Linked DNA regions of Mus musculus. The protein of the gene in region 3 purifies or fractionates together with the protein of the main gene of each other region. This does not show direct contact. Links are inferred from orthologs where the notes say so. Each region holds a gene or a part of one and is shown on either strand. Other genes may lie near its edges.

The links. Proteins that work in one complex are often made in the same cells at the same time.
Region 1: the proteins of Map2k5 (region 3) and Cdc37 purify together in Homo sapiens (affinity purification with mass spectrometry; 3 studies listed by BioGRID and IntAct, with this or other methods). This does not show direct contact. The link is inferred for Mus musculus from reciprocal best matches to the Homo sapiens genes MAP2K5 and CDC37.
Region 2: the proteins of Map2k5 (region 3) and Hsp90ab1 purify together in Homo sapiens (affinity purification with mass spectrometry; 3 studies listed by BioGRID and IntAct, with this or other methods). This does not show direct contact. The link is inferred for Mus musculus from reciprocal best matches to the Homo sapiens genes MAP2K5 and HSP90AB1.

The regions. Positions count from the first base shown.
Region 1 is NC_000075.6:21,147,128-21,151,244, forward strand, and holds the start of Cdc37 (hsp90 co-chaperone Cdc37), read right to left. Parts: upstream 2,808-4,117; 5' UTR 2,731-2,807; coding exon 2,629-2,730; intron 1-2,628. UniProt on the Homo sapiens protein: Co-chaperone that binds to numerous kinases and promotes their interaction with the Hsp90 complex, resulting in stabilization and promotion of their activity. Inhibits HSP90AA1 ATPase activity.
Region 2 is NC_000083.6:45,570,455-45,574,680, reverse strand, and holds the start of Hsp90ab1 (heat shock protein HSP 90-beta), read left to right. Parts: upstream 1-1,419; 5' UTR 1,420-1,514; intron 1,515-2,769; coding exon 2,770-2,916; intron 2,917-3,061; coding exon 3,062-3,268; intron 3,269-3,503; coding exon 3,504-3,663; intron 3,664-3,881; coding exon 3,882-4,015; intron 4,016-4,114; coding exon 4,115-4,226. UniProt on the Homo sapiens protein: Molecular chaperone that promotes the maturation, structural maintenance and proper regulation of specific target proteins involved for instance in cell cycle control and signal transduction. Undergoes a functional cycle linked to its ATPase activity.
Region 3 is NC_000075.6:63,290,902-63,294,412, forward strand, and holds part of Map2k5 (dual specificity mitogen-activated protein kinase kinase 5), read right to left. Parts: intron 2,864-3,511; coding exon 2,795-2,863; intron 2,705-2,794; coding exon 2,623-2,704; intron 1,875-2,622; exon of another isoform or gene 815-1,874; intron 784-814; exon of another isoform or gene 633-783; intron 1-632. UniProt on the Homo sapiens protein: Acts as a scaffold for the formation of a ternary MAP3K2/MAP3K3-MAP3K5-MAPK7 signaling complex.

The DNA.
Region 1 (4,117 bases), about 42 Mb from region 3:
GGCTTCTCTGCTGCCACACACTGCTGCCTGGCAGGTGGTCTTCCCAGGAAACTGGAAGGAATAGGTGTGTGGGTGGGACTGGGAGCCGAATGCTGGATTTGGGGAGGATGGGGAAGGACTTTCTAGGAGTAATGAGAAGTTTTCCCCAAGAAGGTGAGATGCAAAATTCCTAAATGGAAAGTACCTGCCCTCAGCTTGAGAGTATAACAAGCACAGGGGCCAATGAGAGGACTCAGTGGGAAAAGGCCTGCTACCAAGCCTGATGACTTGAGTTTGATCCCAAGAACCCACATGTAAGGAGAAAGTGGACTCTATCAAGTTATCCTTTGACTGCCACAAGGATACCTCGGCACACATACATAAGAATTAACACACACAAAAAAATTAAGATGTAACTTAAACAAAGAGTATAAGACACACAGGTATATGGGTATAGAAGTTTTAATTTGGGGAGCAGGTTAGGCCATTGTCTCTTTACTGCTGCGACAGAGTTGGAACCCAGTACCTCTTGCACGCTAGAGAAGTACTCTACCACTGAACCACACATCCAGGCCACCCTCACATCTTGGTAGTATGCTACAGGCCTGCAGGTAATGATGGCACAAGGGAGGGGCAAGAGCATGGCTTGCTCACACTTGGGGTTCTAAGGTCTCAATCTGGGGCGTCTGTTTTGGAGAGATGTAAAACTGCAGAGGACTGTATTTTATTTGCTTGGTGGTTGACAGGATCCCCTGTAGCCTGTGCCAGCCTCACACTTACCGTGGCTGACGACTTTGAACTTCTGACCCTCCTGCTTCCCTCTCCCCAGTGCTCAGACTACAGGCCTGCCCCACCATGGCTAGTTTTTAAGCAGTGCTAGAGATGGAGCCCAAGGCAATGCCATACAACTGAACTCCAGCCCATTTGGTTTTTGATATTGTCTCATGTAGTCCAGGCTAGCCTAGAATTTGCCCTATATCGAGGACTGACTCTGAATCCCAGATCCTCCTTCCTCGTCCTCCTCCTAAGACCTGAGTTTACAGGTGTGCTACCATGCTCAGAAAGTAAGGTTATGTGGGAACATTATCTGGGAGGTCCAGAGTTAACTAGGATGCTCTGAACCCTGGAGAGAGACAGATGAAGCTGGAGGGAACGGGCAGGTAGGACAGGACAGGCTTGGTTTTCTGGGTTGGTGAGCTGTCTTTTCTTTCTCTTCCTCCCCTCCCCCCTCTCTTTATCCTACCCGACTCCCGGCCCCATCCCTCCAGACAGGGTTTCTCTGTGTAGCCCTAGCTAGCTGTAGAACTCTCTGTAGACCAGGTTGGCCTTGAACTCACAGGCCTGCCTGCCTCTGCCCCCTGAGAGCTAGGATTAAAAATGTGTGTCATCATCATCTGGCTCCTGGTTTGGTGAATTTTCAAAGATGGCTACAGTTCATATAGGAGCCAAGGTGGGAAGGAGAGGGTCTACTTACTATACTAGAAGGAGCAGAGGTTCTAACAGGAAGTTAGGTGGGTGGGGTTTCCTGGAGTAACAGGAAATAAGAGTCTACAGGAGGTGAGAATAAGGAGAGCCACTGGAACTGAATGATGGGCAAGAGTGGAGATGGAGGTCAAATACAGAGGATAAGGGGGCTCTACAGGTATGTCCCATGTGGGACTCAAGTCTATAACCCAGGGAAAGGGATCCTGGACTGGGGAATCCCAGCTGCAAGCTAAGATTGACAGTTAAATTAAGGGCTCATTTAGTTTGGAAGTTGGGGGGGGAGGGGGTCGTCTCTGGGCCTTTAATAGAAATTCATGCCTAAGATCCTGGGAAATAGATGCCATAGTCAGAAGTTTTGTGGCTCCAGACTCTAAGTAGTGAGGAGAGGCAGAAGGGAGACGTGCAATATGAAGTGGGTGCGTGGCTGGGCTATGAGATCACCTAACAGAACCTGGGGTCCAGACTCTGAGGAAGAACAGAAGGTTCTGCACAGGATAGTGGGGACCCTACACACAAGGGTCAGCTTGGGGATGGGGAGAGGCAAGACTCTGACTAAAGTATTACCAACTGATAAAATGGCTCAGAGTGTAAAGGTGCTTGTGGCAACGTGGGGCGACTGGAGTTCCACAGCCAGTTCCAACATGGTGAAAAGAGAGGCCCAACTTCTACAAGTTATCCTGTGATCACCATAGGCATGCTGTGCCACGTGCACACGGGAACACACACAATAAATAAACTTACAAACAGAAGAGAACCATAGCACAGAGAGAACGCCTGGAGATACAGGTCAAGAATTACGGTGAAGAAGCCAGGAGTCCTGGGATGGAATTAAAAAGTCCGGCCCTGCATGAAGGCACATGTCTCTAATCCCAGTACTGGGAAGGCAGAGGCAGGAGGATCACTGTGAGTTAGAAACCAGCCTGTTCTACACAGCAAGTTCTAGGCCAGGGAAGGTTACACAGTGAAATTTTGTTTCAAAAAAAAAAAAAAAGAAAAAGAAAAGAAAAGAAAGAGAAAAGTCTAGATTGTGGAGCAGGCGGCTCCAGATGTCAATAACTAAGGTCTCCCCCGCCCCCACGCCAGGTGGCCTGGGGAAGAGGTCAGAACTCTAGAGCGGGGGGTCCCGGGAGTGGGGGGGAAGGGGATGAGCGCGCACAGCCCCACCTGGTGCCGCCAGCGGAAGAGGCTGGCAGTGTCTATGTTGGGGTGCGTCTCGTCCTCATCGTCCGACACCTCGATGTGATCCCAAACGCTGTAGTCCACCATCTTCGCTTCGGAGGCCCGGACTGGCTCCCGGGGCTCCACACGGCCGGGCGCTGAACAGGGACCCACAAGGGCTAGAGAGTCCGCTCGGCGAGCCCCGCCCCTTCCGCTTCCGCCCAGGGCGCCGCGCAGGACGGCCCCGCCCCAGCGTCGGCGCGGGACGTTACGTCCTTAGCAACGGGAGTCGGCGGCATTGGCAACCGGAGGTCTTCTTTAAAGGGCCAGGAGTATGTGGTGAGGCCTTCTGGAAGTTCCCGCCGAAACCAGACTGACCATCCTTTAGAAACAAAAGGTTAGTCGCGTTGGGCGTGGTGGCCCACGGTAATCCAAGTACGCTAGAGGCAAAAGCAGGTGGCTCTCCAGGAGTTCTAGTCCAGCCAGGGCTACATATTGACACTGTCAAAAAGTCAAAATTGGCTGGGCGGTAGTGGCGCTATGCCAGTACTCCGGAGGCAGAGGCCGGCGGATCGAGGCCAGCCTAGCCTACAGAGTAATTTTAGGGACGGTCAGGGTTGTTATACAAACAACACTCTAAAAAAAAAAAGTCAACATTGCATACACTAGCAAGATTTTATCGAAAGGACCCAGATGTAGCTGTCTCTTGTGAGACTATGCCGGGGCCTAGCAAACACAGAAGTGGATGCTCACAGCCAGCTAATGGATGGATCACAGGGCTCCCAATAGAGGAGCTAGAGAAAGTACCCAAGGAGCTAAAGGGATCTGCAACCCTATAGGTGGAACAACATTATGAACTAACCAGTACCCCGGAGCTCTTGATTCTAGCTGCATATGTATCAAAAGATGGCCTAGTCGGCCATCACTGGAAAGAGAGGCCCATTGGACACGCAAACTTTATATGCCCCAGTACAGGGGAACGCCAGGGCCAAAAAGGGGGAGTGGGTGGGTAGGGGAGTGGGGGTGGGTGGGTATGGGGGACTTTTGGTATAGCATTGGAAATGTAAATGAGCTAAATACCTAATAAAAAATGGAAAAAAAAAAGTCAAAATTGAGGCTGGAAAGTTGGCTCAATAGTTTGGAGACTGGCTGGTCTTCCAGAGCACCCGGATTCTGTTCCCAACACCTACATGGCCACTCACACCCATCTGTAAGTCCAACCCAGGATATATATATTATGTCCCCATTTGGCCTTTGACTACACCAGGCATGCATGTGGTGGACAGATATACTTGCAGACAAAACATTAATATACAATTTGTTTTTTTTAATCATGTTTGCCCTTAATTCCCACCCCACCCCCACCCCCACCAGAGTCTCACTGTATATAAGACAGCTCTGGCTGTCTTGGAATTCACTATGTAGACCAGGCTGACTTCAAACTAACAGATCTTTCTACCTCTTCTCCCCAGTGCTGGGGCTAAAGGTGTGCCCC
Region 2 (4,226 bases), on a different chromosome or scaffold from region 3:
TAAGATAGCAGAGCACTGAGTGCCCATCCTCTACTGGAGGGCTCATCAGTCCAACAAGCTTCCAGATGCAGCCTTGGAAAAAGGCAAGGCTAGATTGCCAGCTGAAGGACATGGCAGGCCACCTTTAGAACAGAGGCACTGGCACAACTTGGTTTTCTGGCTCCTGGAACTGGGCCAACCTGTGACCAGCACCTTCATGCGGATGCCTAGAACTCCAGCTTCTCTGAAAAGACTGGGACCTGCTCCTCTCTAGGTCCAAAGAGCTGCATGCAGTAGGGAAGAGGCTAGAGAAGCGAAACCAGCTTGAGAAACAGCTTGTGCTCACATAGGGAGGGCGCACGTACCCGCGCGCTGTGTACGTGGGAGACCGGGGAGGCTGAGGGGTGGGGAGTGTTCTACCCAGTAGCGCAAGCTGCTAGCTCGGTTCTCTGTTCACTAGAAGGTGTCCGCAGTCACTCACCCCCACAGCCCCCGTGCCCTGTGACCGATCCAGGTCAGCTATCCCTCCCTCTGCGCTCCACTCCCCCACTGTTATGTGGGCCTCTTAGGGCCACGCGTGGAGGGTCGTTCAACCCTGGCCCACGGTAGGCAGACTTGGGGAAAATTTCTTCCCAGGGTAAGATCAAGGTAGGGGAAAAAAAAAAAAAAAAAAAGCCACCCAGCCAAGCGGCGACGAAGACACTGCCCCCGCCGCAGCAGGGGAGGTGGAGCCTAGGGGGGAGGGGTGGAGACCGCCGAGACAGGCCTAGAAACTGCTGGAAGAAATCGCAGCACCACCGCTGCTGATCCTTCCGCCGCAGGCCGCCAAAGAGTCCCTACCAGCCCAGGCCCGTGCCCCTCCCCTCGGGGAAAGCGGCTCCCAGCCTGAAGCTGTGCTGTACCCGGGAGGGTGGGGATGGGGGAATCGGGGGCCTCCTTAAAGTTGGACAAGGAATTTATCATCCTTTTCTCTTGATGTGCGATTTGTAGGGAACATTCTAGTAAGATCGGGTCTGGAAATGGCAGCCGAGTTGGCCACCTCCATTCTCTTTCAGTCCCCTGAGTTCTGGACTCTTGGGGGGTGGGGGGGTGGAAGCGCCTACCTTGAGTTTTCTGAGGCAGTCCGTAGGGTATTCGCCCGCAGATACATCCCTAATTGCATATGCATGCTCCCTGCTCATCTTGAGGGGGGACATGTCCTACTCCTGCAGAAATGGGGGATGTGCAAAACGATATTGAATTGGCCTTGACTCAGGAACCAGGCCCGGGGTCCCGCTCCTCCCCGCCCCCTCCACGATCTGCTACCATGACGTCAAGGTGGGCGGGCGGCGGCAGGTGCGTGGCCCGCAGCCACTCCTTTAAGGCGGAGGGATCCAAGGGCGGGGCCCGGGCTGTGCTTCGCCTTATATAGGGCGGTCGGGGGCGTTCGGGAGCTCTCTTGAGTCACCCCCGCGCAGCCTAGGCTTGCCGTGCGAGTCGGACTTGGTCCGGGCCCACCACCCTGCTCTGTACTACTACTCGGCTTTCCCGTCAAGGTAAGGCCGGGGTCTCTCGTCCCCGGCGGCTCTCCGGGGGCTTCTTCCCGGGGTCCCAGCCTCCATCTCATCTGTCCCAAAGCCTCCTTCCCCGGCGGGGCAGCCTGTGGAGATAACGTGTCTAGAGGTTAGAGGTTCGGGCTGTACCCCGGCGGGCTTGCACGCGAGGCTCCCCGGGGCGGGTGGATTCCCCGGAGCGTGGGGTGGGGGTGCGGCCCGGCCAGGTGGTGGGCGGCCGCACGTGGTAGTCGCCGACCCGGGACGCTGCCATGTTTGCCCTCCACTTCCGGGCGCGGCTGCAGGGTCCGCGCGGTGGCGGGCTGCTCTGCGTGACTCAGCAAGGCCTGGGGAGGTTGGCCTGGCTGCCTCCCCCGGACGCCGCCGGTACCAACGTGCTTGATTTTGGGGAGGGGTGCACAGCAGGGACGCCGGAACCCACCGCGCTTTCCCTTTCCAGATCTTTCTGCCCTCCCAGTGGAGGGCGGGGGAGGAGAGACAGAGCAGGCACGAGAAGATTCCTAGGTCCCTCCCTTTCTCCTCCCCTCCCCGGAGCTCAGATTGTTCTGGAAGCCTGGGCGCCCCGCCCCAGTGCCCGGATGCTGGGGCGGTGGGAGGGTTTCAATGGCGCCCCCTCCCCGTGTGGCTCCTGCCGACGCATGTCCGGCAGTGACGAGGGTCGTTGGACGGCTGGGCCACCATTTTACTTGGGTTCCGGCCTATGCAAGTCTGCACAGTGAGTGGTCACGGTGGAGCTCTTGATTTCTTTGTCCTGATTTAATTGCCCCGTGAGCGCCTCCCAGACTACAGCTTCAAGGTTCTCTTGCCCTGCTGGGTGGAATAAAATAAAAATTAAAAAAGACTGCTTTTTCTGTTAAAGTTGTTCCTCACCCCAATGAGGAGATTGTAGTTAAGGGGTGTGAGTACCAGGGGTTGCTTGAGGTTCTTTTTTATGTATTGTTAACTTAGTCTGGATTTTTACCATATTGCCAGGTGTTCTGTTCAGAGTCAGTGAGCTATGCACTGAACATGCCAATGTTCAAGAGTTTGACTTTTGGGCATCTGTTCTGGAAAACCCATCTTTTAGGTTTTTTTCTGTCATTTTTGTCTTGGCCATTGTAGCTTAAATGTCCTTTTTTAAAGAAAATGGCTGCTCTTGTCTCTTTGGGTTGGATACTTTCCCAGACTAAAGAAGTTTGAGCTGGATATTAAAATGTGTGTCTATAATGGTCCTTAGTAGTAATTCTTTCATTCTTAGATGCCTGAGGAAGTGCACCATGGAGAGGAGGAGGTGGAGACCTTTGCCTTTCAGGCAGAAATTGCCCAGCTCATGTCCCTCATCATCAACACTTTCTATTCAAACAAGGAGATTTTCCTCCGCGAGTTGATCTCTAATGCTTCAGATGTGAGTATTCTGTTGTTGAATTTCTAAGGCTTCACGGAAGTGTGTGTGTGTGTGGGAGTGATTGAGAAGAACAGTTCAGTTGATGTTGAAGGGGGAGGGACTGTTTGGAAAAATAAAATAATCTGGCTTTTTGCGTTTACTACAGGCCCTGGACAAGATTCGATATGAGAGCCTGACGGACCCTTCTAAGTTGGACAGTGGGAAAGAGCTGAAAATTGACATCATCCCCAACCCTCAGGAGCGCACGCTGACTTTGGTGGACACAGGCATTGGCATGACCAAGGCTGACCTCATTAATAACCTGGGAACCATTGCTAAGTCTGGCACGAAGGCGTTCATGGAGGCTCTCCAGGTGTGTGGCCTTTCATCCACACCGTCCTCTAATTTGTTACTGCTTAAGTTAAAATTTGTCTGTCTAGGGTATTACATATTAGGACACTTATTAGAAAAAAAGTACAAGTGGTTGGTCAGGACAGCTTTGACCCCTAGATCTCTGGACATTGAACTGATTGTTACCTTGCGCAGCAGATGGTTATACTTGGCCAAGAACCATGTTGCTGATCCTCTTTACTTCAAACCCTTTGCAGGCTGGTGCAGACATCTCCATGATCGGGCAGTTTGGTGTCGGATTCTACTCGGCCTATCTAGTTGCAGAGAAAGTGGTTGTGATCACGAAGCACAATGATGATGAGCAGTATGCCTGGGAGTCGTCTGCGGGTGGCTCCTTCACCGTCCGGGCAGACCATGGTGAGGCAGCAGGCTACATTGTGGGGAAACCTTAGACGTTGTATTCTATAAAAGTACATTTTAAGGGGTGGTGAGTGCCAGCACTTGGGTGAGTTCTTAAGGCAAGCAAAGGGGCTACACAGGAATCTTAGCTTGCTTGAGAAACCAGGAACGAAAAAAGCGTAGTTCGTTCTTGTATTTTAGTTTCAGTTTTTCATGTCTTGATTTGTTCTCTGTAGGTGAGCCCATTGGCCGGGGTACCAAAGTGATCCTTCACCTCAAAGAAGACCAGACAGAGTACTTGGAGGAGAGGAGGGTCAAGGAAGTGGTGAAGAAACATTCGCAGTTCATAGGCTATCCCATCACCCTCTATGTGAGTATGGGCTTGGCAGTGTTGGAGCAGGCTAATGGCACTGGGCCTTGCTGGTGCTACATTCTCCACAATTAATTACATGTGTCATTGGTGATTTAGTTGGAGAAGGAACGGGAGAAGGAGATCAGTGATGATGAGGCAGAGGAAGAGAAAGGTGAGAAAGAGGAGGAAGATAAGGAGGATGAGGAGAAGCCTAAGATTGAAGATGTGG
Region 3 (3,511 bases):
TAACCCTCAAATCACCATGTCTATGTAACTAAGAGAAACCATGTTTAAAGACCTAAAGGGAGGTATATGAAGCTAGCCCTTCCCCCAAAACATAGGCTATTAATAGTTAGAAATTACATAAAACAAAACAGGACCTTCTGAGGTCTAATGTACTGTAACTGGGATGTAATGTAGTGTACTGAAACTGGCACAGGGACCAATACCCTAAGAAGGCAGAAGAAAGATGCTATAAAGAGCAAGCCCCTCTATTTACTGAGCCATCTTGGTCACTTGTGAGCTGCTATAAACACAGCAGCAGGCTACAATGTGCATGTGCTAGCCAGTTGTCTTGGGTTTCTGTAGCAGTGGACTCACTTGGTTCTGTGGAAATTGTGAAGAAGTGTCAGGCTGTTCTAATCTATTTTACACCATTTCAGTTTCACACCAACATTGTCTGAGGATTCTAACTTCTCTGTGCCTTTGTCTACACTTATTATGTGGTTGATTTTGTTTTGTGTGTATGTGGTCTCAGGTATGAATATGTATGTGTTTTTGATTTAGGTTTCCTTGACAACCACTGTTGATAAGTATTTTCATGTGGCTGTTGACCATTGTGTCTTTCTTTGAGAAATTCATAACCAATCTATTGTCTGTTTTTTTTTTTTTAAAGAGTGACTGGTGTTTTTCTCGTTGCGTTGCAGTATTTCTTTAGTACTTACAGTAACTGCAAATGATTTGAGCACTGACAGACTAGAACAGATTGACACTTCCTCAAAAATTAAGAGTTGCCACAGGACCTGACACCTCACTCCCAGCGAGCTGGATCACCTGACACCTCACTCCCAGCGAGCTGGATCACCTGACACCTCACTCCCAGCGAACTGGATCACCTGAATTGATCCCTGGGGGCACTTGGTGGAAGGAGAGTCAACTCCTAAAGCTGTCCTCTGGCCTTCCAGGCAGGCAGTAGCACACATGCACACCTATGTGTGCATGCATTCATATACACACAATAAAATTAAACATCTTTTAGATGTAAAAGGAAGAAGTGGAAATTTCCCAAGTGACCATCAACTGAAGAAAAACAAGCAAATGTTGTATAGCCACTCAATAAACTACTGCTAGTGACGTGAGGGGTGGTGGGTGCTACTGCTGCGGTTACGCATGAACTTGGAAACTGTTCTGAGCATGAGCCACCAGGCACAAAGGCTGTCGACTACAGGACTCCACTGATGTGCAGCATGACATCCAGAGAGGAAACCAATGACTGCCAGCGGGTAGAGGGAGGGGGATGAGATTAAGTCACTTAATGTGGCTAGGGATTTCTCTTTAGAAATGTTTTGAAATTAGACAACAATGGTAAGTTGTATGCTTCAAAAGGGTGAGTTTTATAGTATCTTAATTCTATCTTAATAAAAAGTGTTTTAATGTAACTGAAGTTATACAGATCTCAAAGGATGCACGTTCACAAGAGTGAGCTGTACTGGGATTACAAACCCATGCTTCCTAACCGGTGTCCATTACACTACCTATGTGGTTATCAAGGGTATGTGTTTGTGTGTGTGTACCTGTGTGTGTTTATGGTGTGTGTATATGTATGGTGTAACTGTGTATGTTTATGTGTGTGGTATATATGTGTTTACCTAAAGAAGTTGAAAGGTGTGCCTATGTGTGAGTGTGCATGTGTGTAGTGTATATAGATGATGCATGTGTATGGTATGTATATGTGTGATGTGTGTGGGGAGTGTATTGTGTAGAATATGTGTGGTGTGTGTGTATATGTGGCTGCATGGTGTGTATACATAAAGAAGTAAAAACGTGTATGCATTTGTGTATGTATGTATGTATGTATGTATGTGTAGTGTGTGTATGTATGTATGGTGGTATATTTCTTGTGTGAGTGGTGCACATGTGTGGTATGTATGTATGTGTATGGTATGTCTGTTTTGTGTGTGCATGTACCTAAGAAAGTAGAAAGGCACATATGCTACATTTTAATGGAGGCTAGATACTGAAACTGACCTTGTAAAAGGTGGGAACGTGTCCAAATTTACAATACATTAAAAAAAGAGTAACAATGACATTTCAGTGAGAGGATTTCCAGAGCTCTATATCCTGTCACAATATTCAGATCAAGGGAGTGCTGCTGATGGCCATGAATGAGAAGCAGAGGAGGACAGGCCTGACGTCCAAACAGAGCCAAACGCAGCTCGGCTAAACAGCTGTGTTGAAAAACAATTTCTTGTCTAGCAATTAAGAACCTATTTCTTTCTGAAAGACACAGGACATTGGGTTAATAGATTTCTTTAGAAGAAAATCTGTTTTGGTGACTGAAACATTAAAAGAACAGAGCATCTGTTCCCAGCAAAGGCAGGCTGCACAGAGGCAGCAGGGACCTCGCGCCGACTGGACCCGAGTGCAAATTTTTAGTAAAAGGAGATTAACTTGCATTCTTGTTATTACACTCAAGCTACAAATATCTAATAGCAGGAACCCTAACAGAAGAGAACTGCCAGTGTAAAGAAGGCAGTTGTTAACACATGCCACTCACTCCAAAGTGGAATGGACATCTGTGTCAAGACTACATTTACGTCAATCGATTCAAAAAATCATTTTTAATGTAGTTTAAAGGGAACAACTCACCATCCATGAATTCTGTACAAATTGAAATCCTGTTTTCTACGAAAAATGCCCCGTAAAATCCTATGATATACGATGAGTCACACTGTAACAAAAATAAGACAAAAGTAGTTTAACACCTAGATGCTGACACCATGTGCATTTACATAGATAAAAGTGACCAAGAAAAAAATACCTTATAAAGGATTTCCAGCTCAGACATGATCTGCTTCTGAAGCTCCAGTGTAATGTCTAACAGAATAACCTGAAGAGACACAGCAGCGTCAACACATTCGTCTACCTTAAGTTACATAGCACGTGAGATACAAGAACTAAAGAAATACCGTGCTTTCTTTATGCAGCATCCCCATAACCCCAGCACCAAAAAAAAAAAAAAAAAAAAAAAGCTGTCTCTGAAGCTAAGCCTCTGCGCTGGAGGAGGCGGTACAGAGGTGATTGATGGAACCCTGGAAGGAGCCAGGTCTCAGAGGTCAGCATTAATGGCTTTAAAAGTCAGTTAAGTTATAACACTCAATTTATGTGCCCTATTTGAGCCACACCGGCTATTTTCAGAAGAAGATCATTAAAAGAGCAGAGCCCTGTGAGCAGGCACTCGGAGATAAGCAGAGGGGATGGTAAATAAAAGAACATTTTAAAATGGGATTTTCAGAAATAAAAGAAATGGGAGTTTAAAAACCCTGTCACCTTACTTCCTCCCATGTGGGTAATGTTTCTTTATAAATGCTGACAGACTTGAGAGCTGGAGAGGTCCTCACGTCACCTGACTCCCACGCTTAGCCAGGACCTCCTGACGGGTTGTGGTTTTCCTTAAGTATCTGCCACCAAGGTGGATTTTATAACACAGAAATGTCCAAGTATATGAACTTAACGCTCTTGCCCAGGGCAGGCTCGA